3 linked regions of the Caenorhabditis elegans genome follow. The protein of the gene in region 2 purifies or fractionates together with the protein of the main gene of each other region. This does not show direct contact. Each region holds a gene or a part of one and is shown on either strand. Other genes may lie near its edges.

Region 1 (7,636 bases), 1.4 Mb from region 2:
ACCACTATCGTTTCTTTTTATAGACCTTTGTTTTAGTCTGTCGTCTCGAATGGGAGGAGAATGGTGGCGAGTGTGAAGTAGCTCTTATCGTTACTGAAAAAGTAAGAGTTTTCAACAAAACTTAAGAAGACAAAAGAGCGAACATACCGAAAAAGTAGGGAAACGATTAAATTGGTCCCGGATTAAATCTTGAAGTAATCGAATATTAAAAATGATGTGAATTCATAAATAATAATAAAAAATTCCACGAAAATTTCCGACCGGGTAGTTTACTGTGGAGTCACGTAAAATGATTCGCTTTTCAGTGACAAACATTTCCTTGAACTGGTTTGTTCTACTGAAACTACCGCACTTTTGAGCAAAGTACACTCAAAATATTCATGAAATGTCGGACAAAAGTTTAAGCGTTTTTGGGTGGTTTTTCAAAAATTTCAAAAAAGCATATGTCACAAACTAATAAGAACACTTTTAACATACAAAATATTGGTTCTAGCTTAACTAAACTTTCACAAAGTTGCAAAATGTTTGCAGATCTTTTCCTCTAAAAACCTGAGTCAAAAACATATGAACTCCCAGATTTGGTATCTAGATATGAATATTAATAAAGTTAGTTGTGGCAAAGAAACATTAGAAACTCCTGTGCATACCTAAACCGGCTACAACTACATTCAACTTTTGTAATAATTGAGATGCTCTGATTTAGTGAAATTCCCATGAGGTTATAAAACTAATTATGGACCATTATTCAATCAAAGTACAGTAACCTTATACAAACTCACATTCAAAAAAACACAAGACAACGAACACAATAGTTTTCATAAATAAACCAGTTAAAAAATCCAGTTAAAAATAGTCTCAAATAGCTACTATCGATCCTTTTGTACTCATGGCCACTCTTGCAAACAATCACAACAAAGTTATTTAAAAAATTGCATGTAAATATATTCAAATATGATCTACGCTAACATTTTACACCTGAACATGTGCAGGCAACTTTGTTTGGAATTGAGTCAATATGAGAGTTCTCAAGACAGTAAGAAGGCTGAACTGCAAACTGTTAAACAAAAGTCTTCGGGGTTCCAGTTCTCGCTTTTCTACGAGTTGCTTCTCGTGCCGAGACCCATCCTAAAGCACGGTTCAAGTTTAAAAATTGAATAAAAAACAGAACAATAGTCTTGAATCTAATTCTGAAATAAAAATGAAAAAAAAAAGGTAATACCCCCATAATGTTATCCTTAAACAAATAGATAATAATATTTTTTTGTTTTCTTCCCATTTCTCTGTTCCTATTCAAATTAGTACTTCTCATTAAAAATAAGTGTGTTTGTGATAATATTACTTTGAAAACTGATTTAAACCCGTTTTTGTTACGATAACAAAAACTTTTGAAAATGCGTATTTCGCAACATATTTGCCGCGCAAAATATCTCGTAGCGAAAACTACAGTAACCCTTTAAATGAGTACTGTAACGCTTGTGTCGATTCACGGGCTAGATTTTTGAAATAGATTATTCTTTTCGATTAGTGACATCGATATTCAATTTGCCTCTTTTTAATTTTAATATTATATCGATTCATTTCAAAAATCAAGCGCTACAGTACTCATTTAAAGGGTTACTGTAGTTTTTGCTGTGAGATATCTTGCGCGTCTAATATGTTGTGCAATACGCATTCTCAGAAATTTGTGTTTTCCCGTAATAACAGAAAAAAGATCAAAACTCATGTATGTAAAAAGGTGTCTTTTCCGGTGCAAAATCCTATTTTTAGACATTACCACGAACTCGTAATCAGTCTACGAAAACGATTAGATGGTTCTTATCAGAAAAATTAGAATCGGCTCATTGAGCTCCCATGAGAATCCGTATACATTTGAAATGTCGAACAAAAAATGCTTCGACTTTTTGATCTTCCAAAAAAAAATTTAAAAAAAAAACTTCCGCCGAGCCTCAAATGTTTACAAAAAACATGATGATATAAATAATCGACTTATTTTTGCCTGTTCACGTCACCTGAAAACAATGAAAAATAGTACAATGGTGTCTGTTTGTGATTGATTTCAATTGTTTATCACATGCTCTACATTTCTGAAAACAAGGGGGAAAGTCGGCGTGTGCTCGTCGATTTTTTATGAGCACGGTTTCCTTGACATTCTCCCGAATTTCCAACAAATTCATACAACTGGAGGCGAATTTCTCGCGGTTTTATCTGAAATGGAATGCGGCGACCTAGCTACTGAAAGAAGTCAAAACTTCTTGGAAAAAAAATTTTTTTATTGAGAATTTTGTGGAATTTGAAAAAGTATATGAGATCATTTTACAAGACAGCGAACTGATCATAGAAGAGACGACGAAGTTTGTAGTAGTCTTTGGTGAAAGCACCTTCCATTTGGAAGACTCCAGTATCATTACGACGAATCGAACAATTTCCTGTAAAATAATATTGTGCGGTTGGCAGTGTGCCAAGTTGTGACTACCTCCGTTGATAAGAAGAGTTCCGCTGAGAAATTCTGCCTTGTACCCTTTGTCTGTGAGAAGGTTTTTGAAGTCGGAAAGTTTCGGATCGTTGACAAAGACAGCCTGAAACAAAAAGTTGAATCTATAAAATGGTTTTTTGATTTTTAAAAATTTTTCAAAGATCAGGTTCTCTCTGACGTCAAACTAGAGAAATGCACAGAACAATTAATATTATTGTTATCAAATGGAGCACTTAGTATGATTGCGTGGTGAAAAGTTTGTGCGTAATAAACGGCCGGATTAGTGACATTTTTGAAAATTGATGGAAACAATGTGACTATTTTTAGAGAATATTGATATTTTCTCGCCGGAAACATTAAATGACCATGTGAGGGTTCTTAGATTTTGTTTTTAAAAATACATTGAAAATTGGGAGTTATATCCGAATATCACTATAAAAAATTTGCATGAATAACTTTTTCAATTTTGCAAAAATTAATCAAAATGTTTTTTTAATTCCCGCGCAAATGGAATTTTCGTGTTTTCTGGAAAATTTTCAGATTTTTTTTCAGCTAAAATTTTTTTTATTGTGCAGCAACATACTTTTGCAATATTGCAACAAAAAAAAAACATTTTCAAAAATTCAGAAAAATTGTACAATTTTTCTAACAGTTCGATCTAGATTCGAACGTTACGGCCATGTTTCTACCTTCTTTTTTTCAAAAATTGCGCTGAAAGGTGGTAATAATAGTGGAAATAACATTTTTTCAAATAAAAAAATGGTTAATTTAAAACAAAATCTAAATCATTTTTATAATTTACCTGGTGAATAGGAATTAGCCGTTTCGGTAGAGGATCGAGAATGAGATTTCCACGTATTTTTCCTTTTGTTCCCTTTTTCGTTCGACTATCATTTGTGTGCCCATTTTCAACCTCTTTTCCACTTTCAGATATCGCCAGCGACTCCTGTGAACCGTTTTCACCCTGAAATTCCAAATGTTTTGAAATAGTTTTAAATATTTTCAGCTTACAATTTCCATTGGTTCGGCATTTCCTTCACCCTCCGTGGCTCCGTTTTCTTCTTGATCATTGACGTCTTCCTCTCGATTTTTATCATCGATCATGAGATTAGATGTTCCTACAGCTAGCATATTATCGATGGCTTCTTTTTCCATAACTCTAGCATCGATCCACGCAAGACTATTTCCTTCGGAAACCTCCTTGAACTGAATATCAGCTAAAAGAGCATCACTAAGAGCCACTTGATAAATGAATGATTCAACTGAGGCATCTACAAGTGCTCCGGCTTCCGGAGCTTTCAACATTGTTGTATCAAAGCCGCTATCGGCAAAATAAGCAACAAGATCACGAGTATCGTCTCGTGATCCATGAACTACGATAATCTGCCGAGGAAGTAGTCCAGCAAGAAGTTTCTTTGTCGATTCACCATCAGATATTCCCTCATATTCTATAAATTCAATTCGGCACGAAACTTCGACACGATTCTTAAATTCGACGCATTTCGTCGGCATTTCTTCAACATGATCGTTCGGATTATAAACTTCTTCTTCTTCTTCTCGTTTCTTCACAACTACCGGTTCATCTTTATTTTGTCCTTTCCGTAAATCAATTTTTGAAATCACAGTGTAGTCTTCTGGTTTAATAACTTCTCCATAATCATCCCACTTGACTTTTTCTTCGATATAAGGAAACATTGGAAATGATTTTTTAGTTGTCTTGAAGAATGATGCTCTGAAAATTAAAAAATTAAATTAAAGACAAATCAAACGTATAAAACTTTTATAAAACAAACTTTTGTTGATTATCCCATTTCGCCATAATATCAAAAGTATGCGCATCATTTTCCGAGCCATCAAACGAACGGAAATCTTTTTCCGAATGCCTTGGAACAATTGGAGCAGCAATATCATCATCATCACTGTCATCACTCTCATTTGCCTGTGCCTGTCGTCTAGCTCTTTCCATTCGAAGTCTAGTTTCTTCTGCATCTCTTTCAGCTTTTCTTCGTTTATATTCCAAAAGTTCTTCTCCTTCCAGTGCAACTCTCTTCTTCACAACTAAACTAATCAATCGATCTTCGTGTTTCAGAACACCATCATTTGCTCTTTCAGCCATATTGACAAGCTTTGCAGCAAGAGTGAATGAAGCTGGACGTGCCGTTAAAATCACACCGTTTCTTGGATCAGAACACCAATCGAGGAATAATTCTCTAGAAAATCCTGATTCCATATCCTGACTACTGCACAACACAACTTTCGGAGATCTAACCCTCATCAATTCCTGATGTGAATGACAGAGTGTGACATGTTTCAGTGTGAAAGGATTGTAACGGGCTGAGCTGGAATCATATTTGAAAAGCTTCTCATTCATCCATTCTAATTGAGATTTTGCGAATTGAACAACTGAAGATGCTACATGTGACATCATGACGAGATTATACGTGGATAGACCTGCATCAGCGCTGAAATTTTTATTTTTAATAATTTTTATTTCAAATTAAAAGAATAACTTACTTGGACCATAATTGATCTAAAAGATGCGCCAGCTCGAGAACTCTTCCAGCTGTATCGATTACAATCATACAATCTCCTTTTTGACGTACTGTTCGTAAAATTTTCGTCACCAACTGCTCGTCTCGATCTTTTCGTCGCATTTGCGGAAGTGAAATGTGATGAGCTCCGGTAATTAGTAAATGTGGTCGGTTGAAATCTGGAAATATAAATATGAAATTTATCTGAATATTTAAAAGAATTAACATACTATCAAATGAGCATCCATTAAGATGTCGTTCTTTTTTATGATTGAAATCAACACAATAAACAATATCTTCTCCAGTCACTCGACAAATTCTCCAAATGGATCCTCCTAACATGTGCCCGGCAGGTAATGCTGTGAAATGAACTCCAGAATCTCCTTTTAAAACGACTGTCTGATTATATTTCACTTGCTCGACTTTTTCGAAAGCTGTATCTACATCATCGAGAGTATAATGCTCAAATTCTTCTACATCCAAATGACTGTAAACCATATCGTAGATGAACATTTGACCCATTTTATATACCGGCACCTAGAACGATATTTTAATTAATTAGAAAAATGTAAATTAAACAAACCGTCGCGTAGACAGGAGCTGTTAAACCACATTTTGAAACTAAATATGGTAGTCCGCCAAGATGGAGAGGATCTGGATGAGATATGAGAACTGCACTGATCTAGAAAAATTATATGTTGAGAATTTAGAAAGTTGAATATATATGAGCTTACTTTGGGAATAAAAGGTTTTAATTCTTCAAAATATTGTAACCCGAATCGCTCATCCCAACCACAATCCAATAGTATATAATCACCATCCACTTGTAAAAGGTAACAAAGAGGTCCTTCGTCTTTTGCACCGGAAAACACTTTCAATTTGATAATGGAGGTCATTTGATGTGTCTTTTAGGTTTTCCCGCTGTTCTGAAAATATTCAAATTAAAAAAAAAAATTGCGATAAAATAACAGCTTTTTGAAGCATAAAACAAATAATTTTCGCAGGAGACCGCAAAAAAATATTTTTGAGTTTTCCACTGAGTGTGCAAACACGGATGTGTGTATGCATCACAATTGACGACAATTTATACACAGTACATTTTTGTTCAAGTTCCAAAATACCTGCGAGGATCTCACTAAATTTACGTGACGAAACCGAAAATGTTTTCGGTTTATTTTTTCGAAAAAAAGAACACGACCTTTTTGGAAGTTAATGGATTTCTATCAATATCAGTTTTTCGACCGTTTATGAAAATACACTATATTATACTATTAAAATCTTATGAGTAGGAACACAGAAGAAAAATAGTTTCAAATGTTATATTTAATATATTTATTTCAATTGTTCTTCTATCATAAAGACACATAACATTGAGGAATTATTGCTGTTGATACACATAACACAGTTTCTCAGTCAGCCTTCGGAAGCAGATGATCGCCAAGTGAAGTAGAGCCAGTAGGAAACACAAAATAGCGAAAAAACTGTTGGAAACAACCATCGACTATCTGAAATTGTACTAATTTGAAAATCAAAAGTAGATATACTTAAACCAACATTCGTCAATTTTAAATGCTATTCGTTCGTTTTTCTCCGAGCATCGAGCACATGGTTTGTTGGTGTCAAATTTGGTGAATAATCGAGAAGGAACCGGAGTGACTGACATCAGCGCCTATAAATTATGTACATGTATGATACATGAATACGTGTGACTTTAATAAATTAAACTTACAGATGATTCATTAAGGCATGCGGATATTCCATGAGTCAAAGAAAATTGCTGAGATTTTTTATTCCGATTCAGGTCGGATCCCTCGGTATTATTCGCAATTACTGGCTTGTTGTTATTAACAATCGACTTTCGAGCCTGAAATAGTTTTGGAGTCAGGAAAAAACTTTAAAAAAAAAGTTAAGCTGAACCTAAGCCAAAAAAATTCCAAAGTCTAATTGAAAGCCTAACTGAAGCTTAACCTTAAATCTTTGCAAAATATAGGACCTAAGCCCAAAAGCCTGAGCCTAAATCTAAGTCTAAGCCTAGGCCAACAAGATTATCCTTTAGGAGCTATTCTACTATTACATGTAAGATGAAGCCTAAACAAGCCCGATATCTGACCTTCTCCTCCCTTTTGCATTCCTGTACTCTTTCCTCATAGAACATATTCCGATGTGAACAATCCGTAGTCCTTTTTGTCATATAATACGAAACAAACGAATATTCCAACAATACCAAAAAGATCAACGCTTGCGAGAATGTCAACCATATATCCAATGCTTTGATATAGGAGACCTGCGGCAAATCCTGTCTTGCTCCGTTGCTCATCGTCGTCAAAGTGAGTAATGAGGTGATTGTAAGTGAGATACGTGCTGGACTGGCACGCGGGTCCAACCAGAATGACATCCATGAAATGGAGACGAGCATTCCTGTTTTTTTTTGAAAAGAATCAATTATTTTTATTAGTTGGTCTTCTAGAAAATTGGAAATTGCTTCCAAAATCTCAAAGATTACCTGTGGGAATGTATGTTTGAATTATGTGGAATAGTACAAGTCGTTTCATAACAATATATCCTTGGATGCAGCTCCAAGCAGCTTCACCTCGAAACATTGGGTACGGTCCGGCGCATTTTACAAATCTTT
Region 2 (8,447 bases):
GAAAACGTAGTAAAAAATACGGCCGTAGTAAAAGATACAAATTGTAGTAAAAGATCGAAATTGGAAAACGTAGTAAAAAATACGGCCGTAGTAAAAGATACAAATTGTAGTAAAAGATCGAAATTGGAAAACGTAGTAAAAAATACGGCCGTAGTAAAAGATACAAATTGTAGTAAAAGATCGAAATTGGAAAACGTAGTAAAAAATACGGCCGTAGTAAAAGATACAAATTGTAGTAAAAGATCGAAATTGGAAAACGTAGTAAAAAATACGGCCGTAGTAAAAGATACAAATTGTAGCAAAAGATCGAAATTGGAAAACGTAGTAAAAAATACGGCCGTAGTAAAAGAGTAAACCGTAGTAAAAGAGCAACGTAGTAAAAGATGAGGTAGTAAAAGAGCATTTGCCTTTTTTTTTGTGTTTTTTTGCGACAAATTTGATTTTCGTTTTTTTTTCGAAAAATATGCGAGAAAAAAAAAACGACAATTCAACTTTAAAACTCATAATTTTTAACTTCATACGTTTTCCAAAAAAATACACTCCAAAATACAACTAGGGTGCACTTTTGAACAAAAACTTAAATCTTTTTTGAAAATAAAATTACAAAATTTTTTGTGTTTTCGATTTTTTCGGTTTCGAAGAAAAACTTTGGATTCAGCACCGTTTTCGACCGCTTCAAAACAGAAAAATTGACAAAATTGGAGGTTTTTAGCTAAAATTAGCTTTTTTAGAAATAAAAAAAATTTGAGAAATTTTTAGGACGTTTCATTACAAAATTTGGGCACATCTTGAGTATAGTAAAGCAAAAAAATCTAATAAAGGTTAACATTTTTTAAGAGATTTAAAATTTGACAAAATAAAGAGGAGTTTCAGTTTTTAAAGGCCAACTTACTCTTTCCTTTCCACTTTCGCGAGTTCGTTCCTTTTCTCTTTCCTTTTCCTTTTTCTCTTCTCTTCGAAGTCGCTTATCTCGTTCACGATTTTCTCGTTCTTTATCATGCAACTCCTCTTTGATTTTCTCGCTGAAATTATTACAATTAAGAATTATCTAATTTTCATGAAAACTTACTCCATATTCTTCTGCTGTTGTGTTGCAAGTGTTGAATAAATTATTTTGAATTCTGCGACAATTCCATCTCCTAAAACTTCCTTTAGCTCTTCGTATTCTTCAAAACTCAAAAATGTGATAACCGCTGGATACGCTTTGGTTTTCAATTCTTTGATACATTTGAAAAATGCCTGCTTCCATCGATCCGATTGTTGATACATCTTCTTTTCAGTTACTTTGTAGAACAGATTTGCGACGAACGATTCGAATGTTTTGAACTGAAAATAGGAAAAATTCATCAAGGGTGTTGTTTTTCGATTATTACTTTAAAATTTTTTTTTTCGTTTTTTCCGATTTTCTCGAGAAAAAATAGGTTAAAATATTGGTCATTTTTTTCTTTTTGTTTTTTCATTAGCATAAACGAAATTTTATAAAAACTGAATTATAAAGTCACCTTTCTGAACATTTTCTTTTTGATTTTTCGTATTTCCAGAAAAAAATATACTGATTTACTGGAAATATAGCCAAACGAAAACAAAATAATACTCACCTTATGAAAAAGAGTATAAAGAGAGTGTAGAAATAGAAATGGAACATTTTCCCATTTGAAAACAGCTTCGATAGCTTGGGATGCGGTATCTGGCTTCAACAATGCTGGATCGAAAAGGAACTCGAGATCTGAAAAATGATTTTTTAAGGTTACTGTTTAAAATGGTATAACTTACTGTTAACAAGTAATTCAGCTTCATTATCATTTTTGGGCTCAATCTTGTGATACTCTTTGATAACTTCAATTGGATCGAACACGAGATTTCCGGTTTGTGGATCACGGACGGTATATAACTTTCGGAATAGGACATTCACTGACTTTTGATATTCAGCACGGAAAATGAATGTTGGAATAAGTCTGACAACTTCTTCTCGTTCAAGTCCTCCTATGATTGGTAGAAGAGCACGAATATCCATTTTTCGTTCGTCGTGAAGAATTTTCAGTTTTTGAATTAAATCAGTTGACGGCGTGATTCTTTCAGTTAGAAGAACGACTAAACGAGCAACAAGAGTTTCAGCACCATATGGACAATCTTCTATTAATGATATTACCATTTCTTGACTCAATTGACGGAATACAGGTTCCAATGAGCGGAGTACAACTCGCTTGAAGACATTGGTAGATTGTGCGTAGACTGAAGCTAACGGGATCAGAAGTAATGGGTCAGATGGCATCAGAGTAGAGTATACAGCCAACGAGTTCTTGTACATTTCATCAGTCCATTGATCAGAATCCTCAGAACTTCGCATGTACATTGGAGGACTTTCTTGTAGACAATCATGAATTTGCATTCTAGCCTGATCACTCAAGGAGCTTCTGATAAATGGAAGATAACACAGTTCCTTGACAACTTCTAGGCATGAACTACGAAGTTCCGGTCTTTCCATGAAAAACAGGCCAAAAAGGAATTGCAAAAGTTGCGGACGTTGTCGATTTCGTGTCATGATCAATTCACGGAGCATCGCCATTCCATGCTCATTTTCTTTAGCCAAACACACTTGCTTCAATCTTTCAATTGCATTCGGAGTCAAAAGTGGTGTTTCTAGTAGAACTTTATAAAAGAGAGCTTCTTTTTCCATATTTCTTTCCAACATTGCGTCAAGCATCTTGCACATTGCTTGATCATATCGATCCAATCTTTGTGCTTGGGTAAGTCCTTCTTGTCCAGCGATCATTTCCTTCATGAAGAGAGCACAGTTCGAGTAGCCTTGATATTGTGCGTAAAGTTCGCAGAGCCATAGAAGCGCCAAATCATTTCTCTTTTTATGATCAGCCAAAACGAATTCTATCAACTTTTCTTCAAATGGAGTACAATCTTCCCAGAATCTAGTCGTCAGCCGGACAACTAATTTCTGATACATCAACCTTGCTCCACCAGCAACAACTCGCCGTTCTGCTTGAAGAACTGATTCATAAGCTAATTCAAACATCTCCGCAGCTTCTTTATCGTCAAATACAACGGCTTCTTCTACCAAGTTGAACGCCTTTTTCGCTTTTTGAATGACCGGAAGAGTGTTAATTTCTTGAAGTGACTGTTTGACAATCTGGGCTGGAACGCGATTGCTCATATTCGGTTCGTGGATTGGTGTTTGGGCGATTGCCATTCCTTCACTTCTTGCCTTATTCCTTGCTTCATATTCTTTTTTCCTTTGTTGCTGCAACCACTCATATCCCGGTCCAATTTCTTTGTTCGTCATTTGAACAGCCATTAGTTCTGATAATTCTTGACGATTCGGTTCTGTTCCAGCGTTTGCTATTGGTGTGTATGATGATGCGAATGCAGCTGGCATTTCTGACGGTAGAGTGTAGAGTGAGATCTTGACAAGATTCATGACAGTTTCATGATTCAGGCATTCCATAATAAATTTGGCTGTCATATCGATGGCTTCAGTTCTCGCATCCTTTGCATTTACAGTGCTAGTGGATGGTCCTGCTTCGTCATCGTCATCATCATCATCTTCGAATATTTGATTTTGAATCTTGGGACGTTTGGCAACTGGTTCTGCAGGATGCTGTGGTGGCCGTGGCGGTGCTATTTTTTGAATCAGTTCAGGTGGAATCGACTGTTGTACTTCTCTGGGTGAAGCTCCCAGATAGTTTGTTAACATTGTGGTGATCTTTTGCTGGAGAGGAACAGATGCAGGCAATTTCAAAAAACGTAGCAAATTATATTTGAATGATTTTCTCAGAAATTTGACTTGTCCCTTGCTGAGCATTGGTGGTACATTTGAATGAAGAGCTTTTATAACATCGAAGACACGTGGCAACGCATTCTCCCATTGAGGTCGACAACGAGTAATCATACAGAGTGATTCAATTACTGTTATAAGATTTTGTGATGTTGCTTCCGCGACTGTTGTTTGCTTTAGTAAAGCACTGAAATTCTCCTCGGCTTCCAACTGGGTTTTATGATAGGATAGGAATCTATGACTTCGTGGAACATCTGATAGAGAAATCCTATTGAATCTAGTATTTGCCTCTCTTGCCCAGCTTATGTTGCTACCAGTGGCCAACTCTCTTGGCTTTGGAGATTGACACAAAATAAGAGCTTCCAGAAACTTTACGGTAACAGTTCGGACTCCTTCGTGATCATCGCTAACCAGCATACAAATTCGATTCTTGAGCAAATTAAAAGCATCCCAGCAGCTCTCCGCGTTGTCATTTTTATCCATGATTGCGAATTCAAGAACGATCGGATATAAGTTTGTTGATGCAACGACAACTCGTTTTATAACACTTTCATATCGTTTAATAGACTTATTGGGAATAAGATAAAAACTATATCTTTCGACAGTTTTGTTACATAACGTGAAGTCTTTAGCGCTTGCTTTGAGAAGAAAATCGACGAGAAGGCATAGAATCCTTGAGTCGTTCAGCTCTGCGAATTCCAGCATTTCGGTTAGAAAATTGTCGAGAATACTGATTGAGAGACTCGGGTCGATGAGCAGATGCATTGCCTGTAATTAAATAATTGAATATCGACTAGTCATTTCCCGGTAGATTTTTGTTTTAGTTCTTTGAAAAACTGTTCTTTTTATTTCCAAAAACACAACAAAAAGTAATTAAAATTTTGGTAGAAAACCATTTGTAAAAACTTACTGTAGAAAGAGAAAGAAGTTTCTTTTCGATAGTCTCCGCATCTCGAGCTTCTTTTAAAGCCTCTCCAATTCGTTCACTCGCCGTTTCATTCTCCTCGTTCAATCCCTGGATGTAGTCCATCTGAAATATTTAACGGTAACTTCAGAAAAAATGAAATGAGGGCCGGCAATTGCAATAGACAAGAATAATTGTATGAAATGACATAAATAACAATTAACAACCTTGTAATTATAAGTTATTTAAAGAAATTTCTAACTGTAAATGACGGAAATATATAATTATTCAAATTTAAGAAAATTCAACGAAAAATAGAAATTGAAAAACTTAGTGCGCGCCAAGTGTCAGTTGCTGGCGCACTTCGCGATTTGTTGGCGCGTTTCTCGTGCATGAATTGGAACCTCCAAAACTGCATTTCAGACCATTTTTTCATTGCGAATTCTCTGAAATTTCAGTGATTTTTTTTTCTATTTTCGACATGAATCCCGTGGAACCCGCGGATTTAGTCGATATTAGAGAACAACTACATTCTGGCTGTCACATAGTTCAGGCGAAGGTAATATTAAGATAAAATCTTCTATTATTAGAAATGCTCACACATTTTTCAGGGGTTCAGTTTTCTTGCCAATCGAATTATCAACAAAGAACTAGATGCGAAAGATGAGAAAAAATATCGGAAGCTGCTATTCGATTGCTTTGTCGTGGAGGAAGACATACTATTCAGATTTCTGATTGACACTTTGCCAATTCTTCTTATTAGAGGTAATCGTACTTTTTTTTTGCAATCTAAAGCAACTTTTTCAGGATCAAACTCACCGGAGACTCTATGGGAAGAGTTTACACTTCGTGCACCGAGAATACGTCGAATTCAAAGAGCTTTTGGAATGATGATAAGCCATTGTAAACCGTCATTTTCGTGAGTTCAAAAAGTGTATTCCTTTGTATATGGTAAATATTTTTCAGAAAATTTCTGGACGTGGCAGCAAGAATTGACAGTGAAATCTTGACTAAAATCTGCATTAGCAGCGAGTTTGGATACAACTTTTATCAATATATCGCAGTGCTTTCGTTTACTGGATTGCTATCGGATAGTCAGAAAAGGCTAGTAGGAAATTGTGGATTGGCCCAAAATGTGTTCTTAAAACATCAACCAGATTTGTACCCAACTGGGCACGAGAGTGAACATGACCCGGAATCTTTTTTGAGAGGTAAAAATATTTAATTGTTTGATTTCTAACTAAATAATTAAATTTTCAGAATGTTCCGCAGAAGATCTTCTCAGTCATCCTCTACATAATATTGATCCATTTCAACGTCATAAACTGATGCGAGACAGACCGGCCGTTCTCGAAAGTAAAAATCTTCCAAATCACATTCTCTACTTACCTTACGCGGTTATGCTCAGTCAGTACAAACAAGTCATTGTAAAACTTGTTGAGCAATCAAAAATGGCCGATCATAAACTTGCTTCGGAGAATCGAGTCAGTGGATGCAGGGATACATATTCATTTGCTGCTCCCGATTTTTCCGATCAAGATCTGACTTTTGAAACATTCATGTATCACACGATAGCTACTGGAAAAGTCACGTCTTTCATCAAATACGTTGAGAACTATCACGAATCGCTAGGAATCCTTCAAAAAGCTCATCTTCTTCCAGCACTTACTGTTTTTCTGACTCATTCATCTACGAATCCATCTCTTCAAGAAAGAATTTGCAAGTTAATAGCCTTGTTCGTCAAAAAAGCTCCAGAAAATGCGGATCAATTCGTGCTCTATTTCATTACATTATACCAGAAACCATTCTTTCCAATACACCGGCACCTGCTTCTCGAAACTATCAAGGATCTATTTGTTAATCGAGTGAGTAAATTCAAAAGTTCTCAAGAAATGTAAAATAATTATTTTTTTTCAGTTCGTCATAAGTTCTGCCTTCGGCTTCCTCAAAATCACTGCTTGTTTAGAAGGTGATCGTGTAAGATCATTGGAATGCCTAGCAGAGATCATTCCAAAATTCACACAGTTGTTCGAACCAATGACTAGTCTCTGCGCCTTGAAGAGGGATGATGGGTCCGACGAATCATTTTATGCGGAGCTTCATTTATTGAAGGAGTGCTGCAAAGTAACGTAAGTTTTGTATCATTTCTGAAATAAACAAAAATCACATTTCCTGAAATTTCTCACTTCAACTAAAGAATTTGCAGGGAAGACAACGAAAAAGCTCTTTCAAAGATCAGCAATTCATTAAAAGAATGTACAGGACCTCGGTTGGCTGCCATTGTGGATGCTGTTACCGATTTGATCAAGTGTGGAGTTCTTGATACAATAGGCGCAAGATCCATGCTTACAAAAAGAGCCAGGCAAAGAGGTTGCGAGCAATCATTAGGAACGTATTGTCGGTTATTATCAACATCCACTATCCCTGAAGAAAACGAGGAACAGGCTCGGATTTTGAGAATGTCTTGTATCGAGGAGCTAGCAAATCTCAAACAAAACGATAATCACACAGTTGCTTCAGAAGCGTGGAGATCGCTAGGAGCATTTGAATTGGATGAACTCGAAAAAGGACTGAAAATAAATCCTGCACAATTTGCCACTCTATTCGTCAAATTAAGAAAAGAAGTTCAAAATGGATTTATCGACTTCCTGAGTCTGTGTTTGCACAAAGAAGTTGAATCGTACCAACGACCACTATACAATACTAGTGCTCAGGATGTCAATGTTTCACCGTTGCTCACAAAAGTGGATACCTTCAAAGATAAATTGATTATTGAAAATAAGAATGAACCATGGTTCTGGTCAGCTTCACTCTCATTATCTGCATCTATTCTTCAGCTCACAGGCCCTACCAATCGGGCTCAAGCATCTGTGCGCCTCCTTCAATCCTGTTTGGAAAATGTTGTTCCAGCAAGTTCACACGATGAAATGATTCGATTGATGGCTGGATGGAGAATATGTATCAGAGAAGTGCTCCACGTGCTCACTGAGTCGAAAAGTAACGATATTCTCTGGGCAAGAGATCAGATCATCAATACTGGGCGAACAAGTTTAACGAACAAGGCTGAGTCAGTTGACAATATAATGATGATGCTCACAGCTTTGGCAGATGCTATCGATCAACAGCTTAGAAACATCGAGAATGATGAACAAGTTGAAGAAGTATCCAAGGCTCAGAATCCGTGGTTGTTATCCGTTTATGAGTTTGTTGCTACCCGCTTGCCGAAAAATTTGAAGGAGAAACGAGTTGCGAAAAATGAGCCAATATATCAATTGATAACCCATTCAAATAAGTCTTCCCTACTCACTGCCATATTCTGTTTGCGTCTTCTGTATTTAAACCCAAGTGTTGCTGCATTTTACAATGATGAAGATGTTGGACTCACTGATGATCGGATGCTTGTCAGTTTATTGCAAGATTCCACGAAAGAGCTTAAGAAAGAGGAAATTCCTGATCGAAAAATGATGTGGGTGACTGCGGAGGCTTACGGTGCTAGTCAGATGAGTGCGAAAGCGTTTGAAGTTGCGTACAATATAGTTATTGACGAGAAGACAGAAAAGTATGAAGAAACGGAGCTGGTTGATGATGAAAGTATTGAAAAGTTCTTTAATGGATTGATTTCCTCTCCAAAAAAAGATCTTAAAGAAATAGAACAGAATAATAAGAAAGTTCTTGAAAAACTTTGGAATAATGGAAACAATGAAGTGAGGAGAAAAATCTACGAAGGATTAGCTGAGTTAGCTCTAATCTCTGGAA
Region 3 (4,836 bases), on a different chromosome or scaffold from region 2:
AAAAATTTCTCGGAGGTCTTGATTTTATTTTTCTGTGTAACTTTTATTCGTATATTTGAATTTTTAATTATCAAATAAAAAATTTCACGAAAAACTGTGGAAAAATCGATGAAAATTCGTTCAAAAGCTTCATAATATCAGTTTTTAAAAATTTGGTGCTTTCTGGTGATTCTCGAAGAAAACTGGAAAACTACTTATTAATTCTTTTTTTTAATTAAAAAAAGTGAAAATTCCAAAAATCTGCTGAACTTCTCCACTCACTTATACAATTTTTCATCTTCATCTTCAACCATTTTCGTTGTAACCACAGCATCTGCATCATGAACATGTTCCGAATCATCAAGACGTCCTCCACAAACAGCACAGACACCGTCTTCTAGATGCTTTTTAGGAAGTCCTTCAGGAGTGTAATACTGAAAAATTGGAATTATATTGATTATTTTTCGGCAGCAGGTGAAAAATGTATTTTACCCCGATTCTCGACGCCATTCTCGCCGTGCAAATGTGAGCAAAATCCCGGCCGAGCACTCCGTAATACACACCATAGAACATGAAAAGGATGCCTGGAAGCTTGAAAATTAGATTTTTTCAAAATTTTTCCAAAATTTCTCACCGGCATCCATTAGTGTTGGCTGTGAAACTCCGAATAAAACATGAAATCCTAATAAAGCTCCCATCATGATCAAATATCCAACAACTCCGAGTACATAACTCAGTTTATGCAAAAATAGAAACCATTTGTAGACGAATCTTAAATTATTTCGTTTAATTCGTCTTTTTTATTCTTAAAAACCTTGGTGTTCCTCCACTGATATGTTGAGCCGAGGCTTTCAACCAAATAAAAGCTGAAAAAATGCAGAAAACAAGCCACGTGGCCAGGAATCGATACCAGGATCGGTTGAAACAAACATAAACTGGAATTGTGAGCATTCCTATTAATGTACACATCTGTAAATGTTTGAATATTAAATAAATGTTTAAAATTAATAAAATTAAATACCTGATAAGATTTAAAATGCTTCCTCTTCCAGGTGACCAGAAAAATCTGTCCAACGATGACAGAAATCATGAAAATAACCATCATTTCCATGTGCATCGCTTCGTGTCCTTTATGCTTTTCGTGCATTTTTCGGTGCTCCTCTGCCCATTGTTCTTCTTCTGTTAGCTCGTGTGGAGGGGGCTGAAAATAAAAATTTATAATAGAAATCATTTTACTTTTAATTAAACTATTTTAAAATCAATAAATACTTACCATTCCTTCCTGAACTTCATTCTGCAGCCTAATTGCCCCATGTTGGCCCATTCTATGGCCTGAAAAAATAGAAATTATTTTGGAAAACGTTATTGATTTTTCGAGAAGGTAAAGCGGACTCCCGCGTGGAAAGTGACCAATTTTAAAAATTGAACGAAAAAAACACTTTAAATTCAATAATTGATAAAAATAGTTGAGTTGGTTAACTTTGCGACAAGGAAATGTCGGAGAAAGATTTGCGGTGAAAATCGAAATAAAATAGGAGAATGTCATCTGCGCGCGGCATATCTGCAAATCTTGTGTGCCAGGGTTGCAAAGAACGCTCCGCCCACAAACATTCGAATGCAAATTTTGGCGTTTTGCTTCTTTTTTCTCTTTTTTCTGTATAACCAAACAAATATATTTTATATTATCCCTTTTTAGAGCAAATTTATCTTTTTTTTTCAGAAAAATGAGCAACGGTCAACTCGTGTCTCAGGTGACAGTTGGTCACGATAAACCATTAGATCGTGAGAAAGTATGTCCGATGCTTCTTCGCGTCTTCGTTGCTAATAATCGTCATAATCCGATGAGCGAGTACAATAGTAGAAATGGAGGATCTGTTCCACCCAGCGAACTTCAAATGCATACTTGGTACGCGGTAGAAATAGAAAAATTAGTACTATTTGGCCGAAATTATAGAACTTTTGTCTAATATTTTCAATAATACATTCAAACTTGTAAGTTTGGTTAACCTGAAGTATTTTTTTTATTTTCAGGATGGACTGTTCTCTGCGTGAATTGACCAGTCTAATCAAAGAAGTGAATCCGGACGCTAGAAGAAAGGGCACCACATTCGATTTCGCTATTGTGCAGGCAGACCGCGGCTCGCCAAGATACATTCTACGCGATGTGGGAAACACGACGAATGGAGAGCGTGGCATTGATGACAACAAAACTGTATGTGATTTTTGACACCACGGAACCATTAGAATTTTATTTGAATTCGGAAATAATATCTCCAATATTAAATTCGTTTTGATTGAACTTTGTTTTTCAGCTACAACAATGCAAATTCGAAGTCGGTGATTTCGTCGACGTCGCGATTTCCTTGCCAAGTCAAGGACGTCGTTTCAATAACCGGGAGCAGGGAGACCGTTTCGATCATCGTCAACGCCAACGTAGTCCGATTCGCTAGACGCCTAACTGTGTGTTAAAATTCAATGATACTCTTCTGTATTTATTAATGTGTCGATTCTTTTTTTTATAACGTGCAATGTAATATTCTGCGTAAATCATGTTTTCCTTTACAATTGTTCAACATACTTAACAATTTACAACAAAGTTTACTTTCACATTTACTGGTCAAAATTGCAAGCTATTTAATTTTAAAAAAGTTTTGTTTTGTGATTATGCAAAAATCGGAAAAATGATCGCGATCAAACTGCTTTCAGCGAAAACTAAAATTTCTTCTCGAATAATTTATTGCTTAATAAATGATAATGGACGGGGGGTAGAGCAAGTAAGATTATTGAAAATCGAAATTTCCAAAAACGTTCTAATTGGAAGTTTCTTTCGCCTTCGAAAACTCCTAATAAGAAAGTTGGAGGAAATTCGCACAGAAAAAAAGGCAGGTAAAACAGGAGTATCTACTATTCAAACTATGTGTCAATGTACTCTACTCTAGATTAAATTACAAAAGGATTCTTAGTTGAAATTATAAAAACATAAAGGGGAATACGATACAATTATGGGGAAAAATGTAATAAAGAATGTTCAGAAAAACAAAAGCATGGGAATTTAAGTACTTGTATAGAGAGTAGGTATAGGGTAGTGGATAAAAAATGTTGGTAATATGTAAAGGGGGTGAATACGTGACAATAAAAGAGAGAATCTCGGGATTACGCCCAGAAGTTTCGCTTCGGAATGGTCATTCCGTTCATTGCAACGGACATCTCATCAACAATGGCTGCCGCCAGTTCTTCTCGCATGTCTTCGTTGATGAGTTCCGAATGGTCTTTGATGATGCGGTTCTCAACTGCTTGCAAATTCACGTAACGCCTGGAAACATTTGTTTTTGATAAAGATTTTTAGGAAAATAAACTATTACTGATGAATTTTGTAATTGTTGCGTCCTCGTTTAGCCAGATTTTCTGCCGCATAAAGAACATCTGGAACCGATGGTGGCTGGTAGGACACTTGATGACCGAATGCGCGGAAGTACGTCAAGTGCATGAGCTCGTTTTTAGACCATTTGGCATCATTGACAAGGATCGTGTACTTGCACGGACGAACGGTACCCTAAAAGAAACTTTCATTTAATAAATTAACTAATGAACAACTTACAATAAGCGGCGTCTGTGAAGACAAAATGAACTCGTCGTATCCGTAGGATGTCAGGACATTCTCGACACATGTTCCAGATGGGATGTTCTGATCCGTCGCTCTGTTGCCACTGATACATGATGGAAAAACGCGAGCATGTGAAGCTCTTTGTGCGATGATCACCACGAGATGTGGACGGTATCCGGGCTGAATCTTGTCAAATGTTCGTCGCATCTCTTCGACTTCTTCCTTAACACGATTGAAGTTTCCTTCTCCAGCACCAACACGATAGATGACGATTCTTGTTGGGAGTGTCTTCGAATGCTCCTTGTACGATCTGACACACTTTGGGAAGAATTCATCAAGTTTTTGAAGTTTGTACTCCTTTTGGGTTTGAAGGTATGTGAAGCCTCCGAGCTGCGTCGAGTTGGTCAGGGAATACGAGACTCCAACAACTGATGGCTCACCATCCATTTGTGATCTACTGCGATCGAACAAAGTGCGTGATGCGCCATGAGAAATCTCGAATCCGATGAATTGTACATGTTCGAGAAGTTTCTTTCTCAATGTTTCATTGTTTGAGCACACTGCTTTTCCACGCACAGCATTCGGGATCTCGACGAAGAAGTTGGTTCCACCACACTTGAGGTTGAACTTTCTCATGACGTTGTCAATCGTTTGGCGTCCACCTTGACCTCCCATCATTTTATCGACAGTCTGTTGACACAATTGGATTGTTTGCAGGCCAATCGATTCCTCAAAGTATTTGAGTATGTCGTGAACATCCGGCTTCTTCTCCCTTGCTATTCCAACAAGAATGTCCACTCTATCATCGAGCCATTTCTTCATCAGATTTTGGATAGCAACGGAATCACTGGAGTTCAATTCACGGATGGACCAATCTCGCGAGTCCTTTTCGACCGTGATTCCATTGTCACGACAGAAATTGGACAGCTTGTCGCAGAAATCTCTGAAAATAGAATATTATAAAGCAGAAGAAAACAACGTTCGACTTACTCGGCCTGTCTCATTTGGATACAGTTGTCAAAGACAACAATACCAATTTTTCTGATCCGTGCTGGTTCGACAAACTTGTCCTGTGTGCGGAACGCTGGACGGCTCATGTCAGGCATGTAAGTCTGGCCCTTGAACTTGATTTGAGCTGGTGGGAGGAGCTTCGCAGTCATTTGGATTGGCTCAGTCGACATCAGTTTGATTCCGAAAGCATCCATGTACTTATTTTGTTCAAGCTTCAAGTTGTCGCGGAGAATATCTTGAAC

What was found. Proteins that work in one complex are often made in the same cells at the same time.
Region 1: the proteins of symk-1 (region 2) and cpsf-2 fractionate together in Caenorhabditis elegans (co-fractionation; one large-scale study listed by BioGRID). This does not show direct contact.
Region 3: the proteins of symk-1 (region 2) and C16C10.4 fractionate together in Caenorhabditis elegans (co-fractionation; one large-scale study listed by BioGRID). This does not show direct contact.

What each region holds. Positions count from the first base shown.
Region 1 is NC_003283.11:7,177,472-7,185,107, reverse strand, and holds cpsf-2 (putative cleavage and polyadenylation specificity factor subunit 2), read right to left. Parts: upstream 5,937-7,636; 5' UTR 5,901-5,936; coding exon 5,739-5,900; intron 5,687-5,738; coding exon 5,588-5,686; intron 5,542-5,587; coding exon 5,235-5,541; intron 5,184-5,234; coding exon 4,988-5,183; intron 4,936-4,987; coding exon 4,267-4,935; intron 4,206-4,266; coding exon 3,485-4,205; intron 3,438-3,484; coding exon 3,276-3,437; intron 2,577-3,275; coding exon 2,474-2,576; intron 2,427-2,473; coding exon 2,314-2,426; 3' UTR 2,250-2,313; downstream 1-2,249. Other genes in the region: lgc-39 (Ligand-Gated ion Channel), read right to left, coding at 6,418-6,509, 6,559-6,673, 6,734-6,868, 7,115-7,422, 7,508-7,636. UniProt on the Caenorhabditis elegans protein: CPSF plays a key role in pre-mRNA 3'-end formation, recognizing the AAUAAA signal sequence and interacting with poly(A)polymerase and other factors to bring about cleavage and poly(A) addition.
Region 2 is NC_003283.11:8,566,681-8,575,127, reverse strand, and holds the start of symk-1 (DUF3453 domain-containing protein), read right to left. Parts: upstream 4,818-8,447; coding exon 4,698-4,817; intron 4,556-4,697; coding exon 1,774-4,555; intron 1,727-1,773; coding exon 1,599-1,726; intron 1,327-1,598; coding exon 1,070-1,326; intron 1,023-1,069; coding exon 893-1,022; intron 67-892; exon of another isoform or gene 1-66. Other genes in the region: F25G6.9 (Signal recognition particle 14 kDa protein), read left to right, coding at 5,173-5,250, 5,303-5,456, 5,499-5,610, 5,658-5,902, 5,952-6,556, 6,609-6,820, 6,898-8,447.
Region 3 is NC_003281.10:4,169,637-4,174,472, forward strand, and holds C16C10.4 (putative histone deacetylase complex subunit SAP18), read left to right. Parts: upstream 1-1,699; 5' UTR 1,700-1,703; coding exon 1,704-1,885; intron 1,886-2,010; coding exon 2,011-2,191; intron 2,192-2,291; coding exon 2,292-2,429; 3' UTR 2,430-2,587; downstream 2,588-4,836. Other genes in the region: E3 ubiquitin ligase rnf-121, read right to left, coding at 262-413, 472-563, 614-750, 794-948, 1,001-1,180, 1,253-1,303; Argonaute protein hrde-1, read right to left, coding at 3,133-3,292, 3,342-3,532, 3,578-4,526, 4,574-4,836. UniProt on the Caenorhabditis elegans protein: Acts in transcription repression. Involved in the tethering of the SIN3 complex to core histone proteins.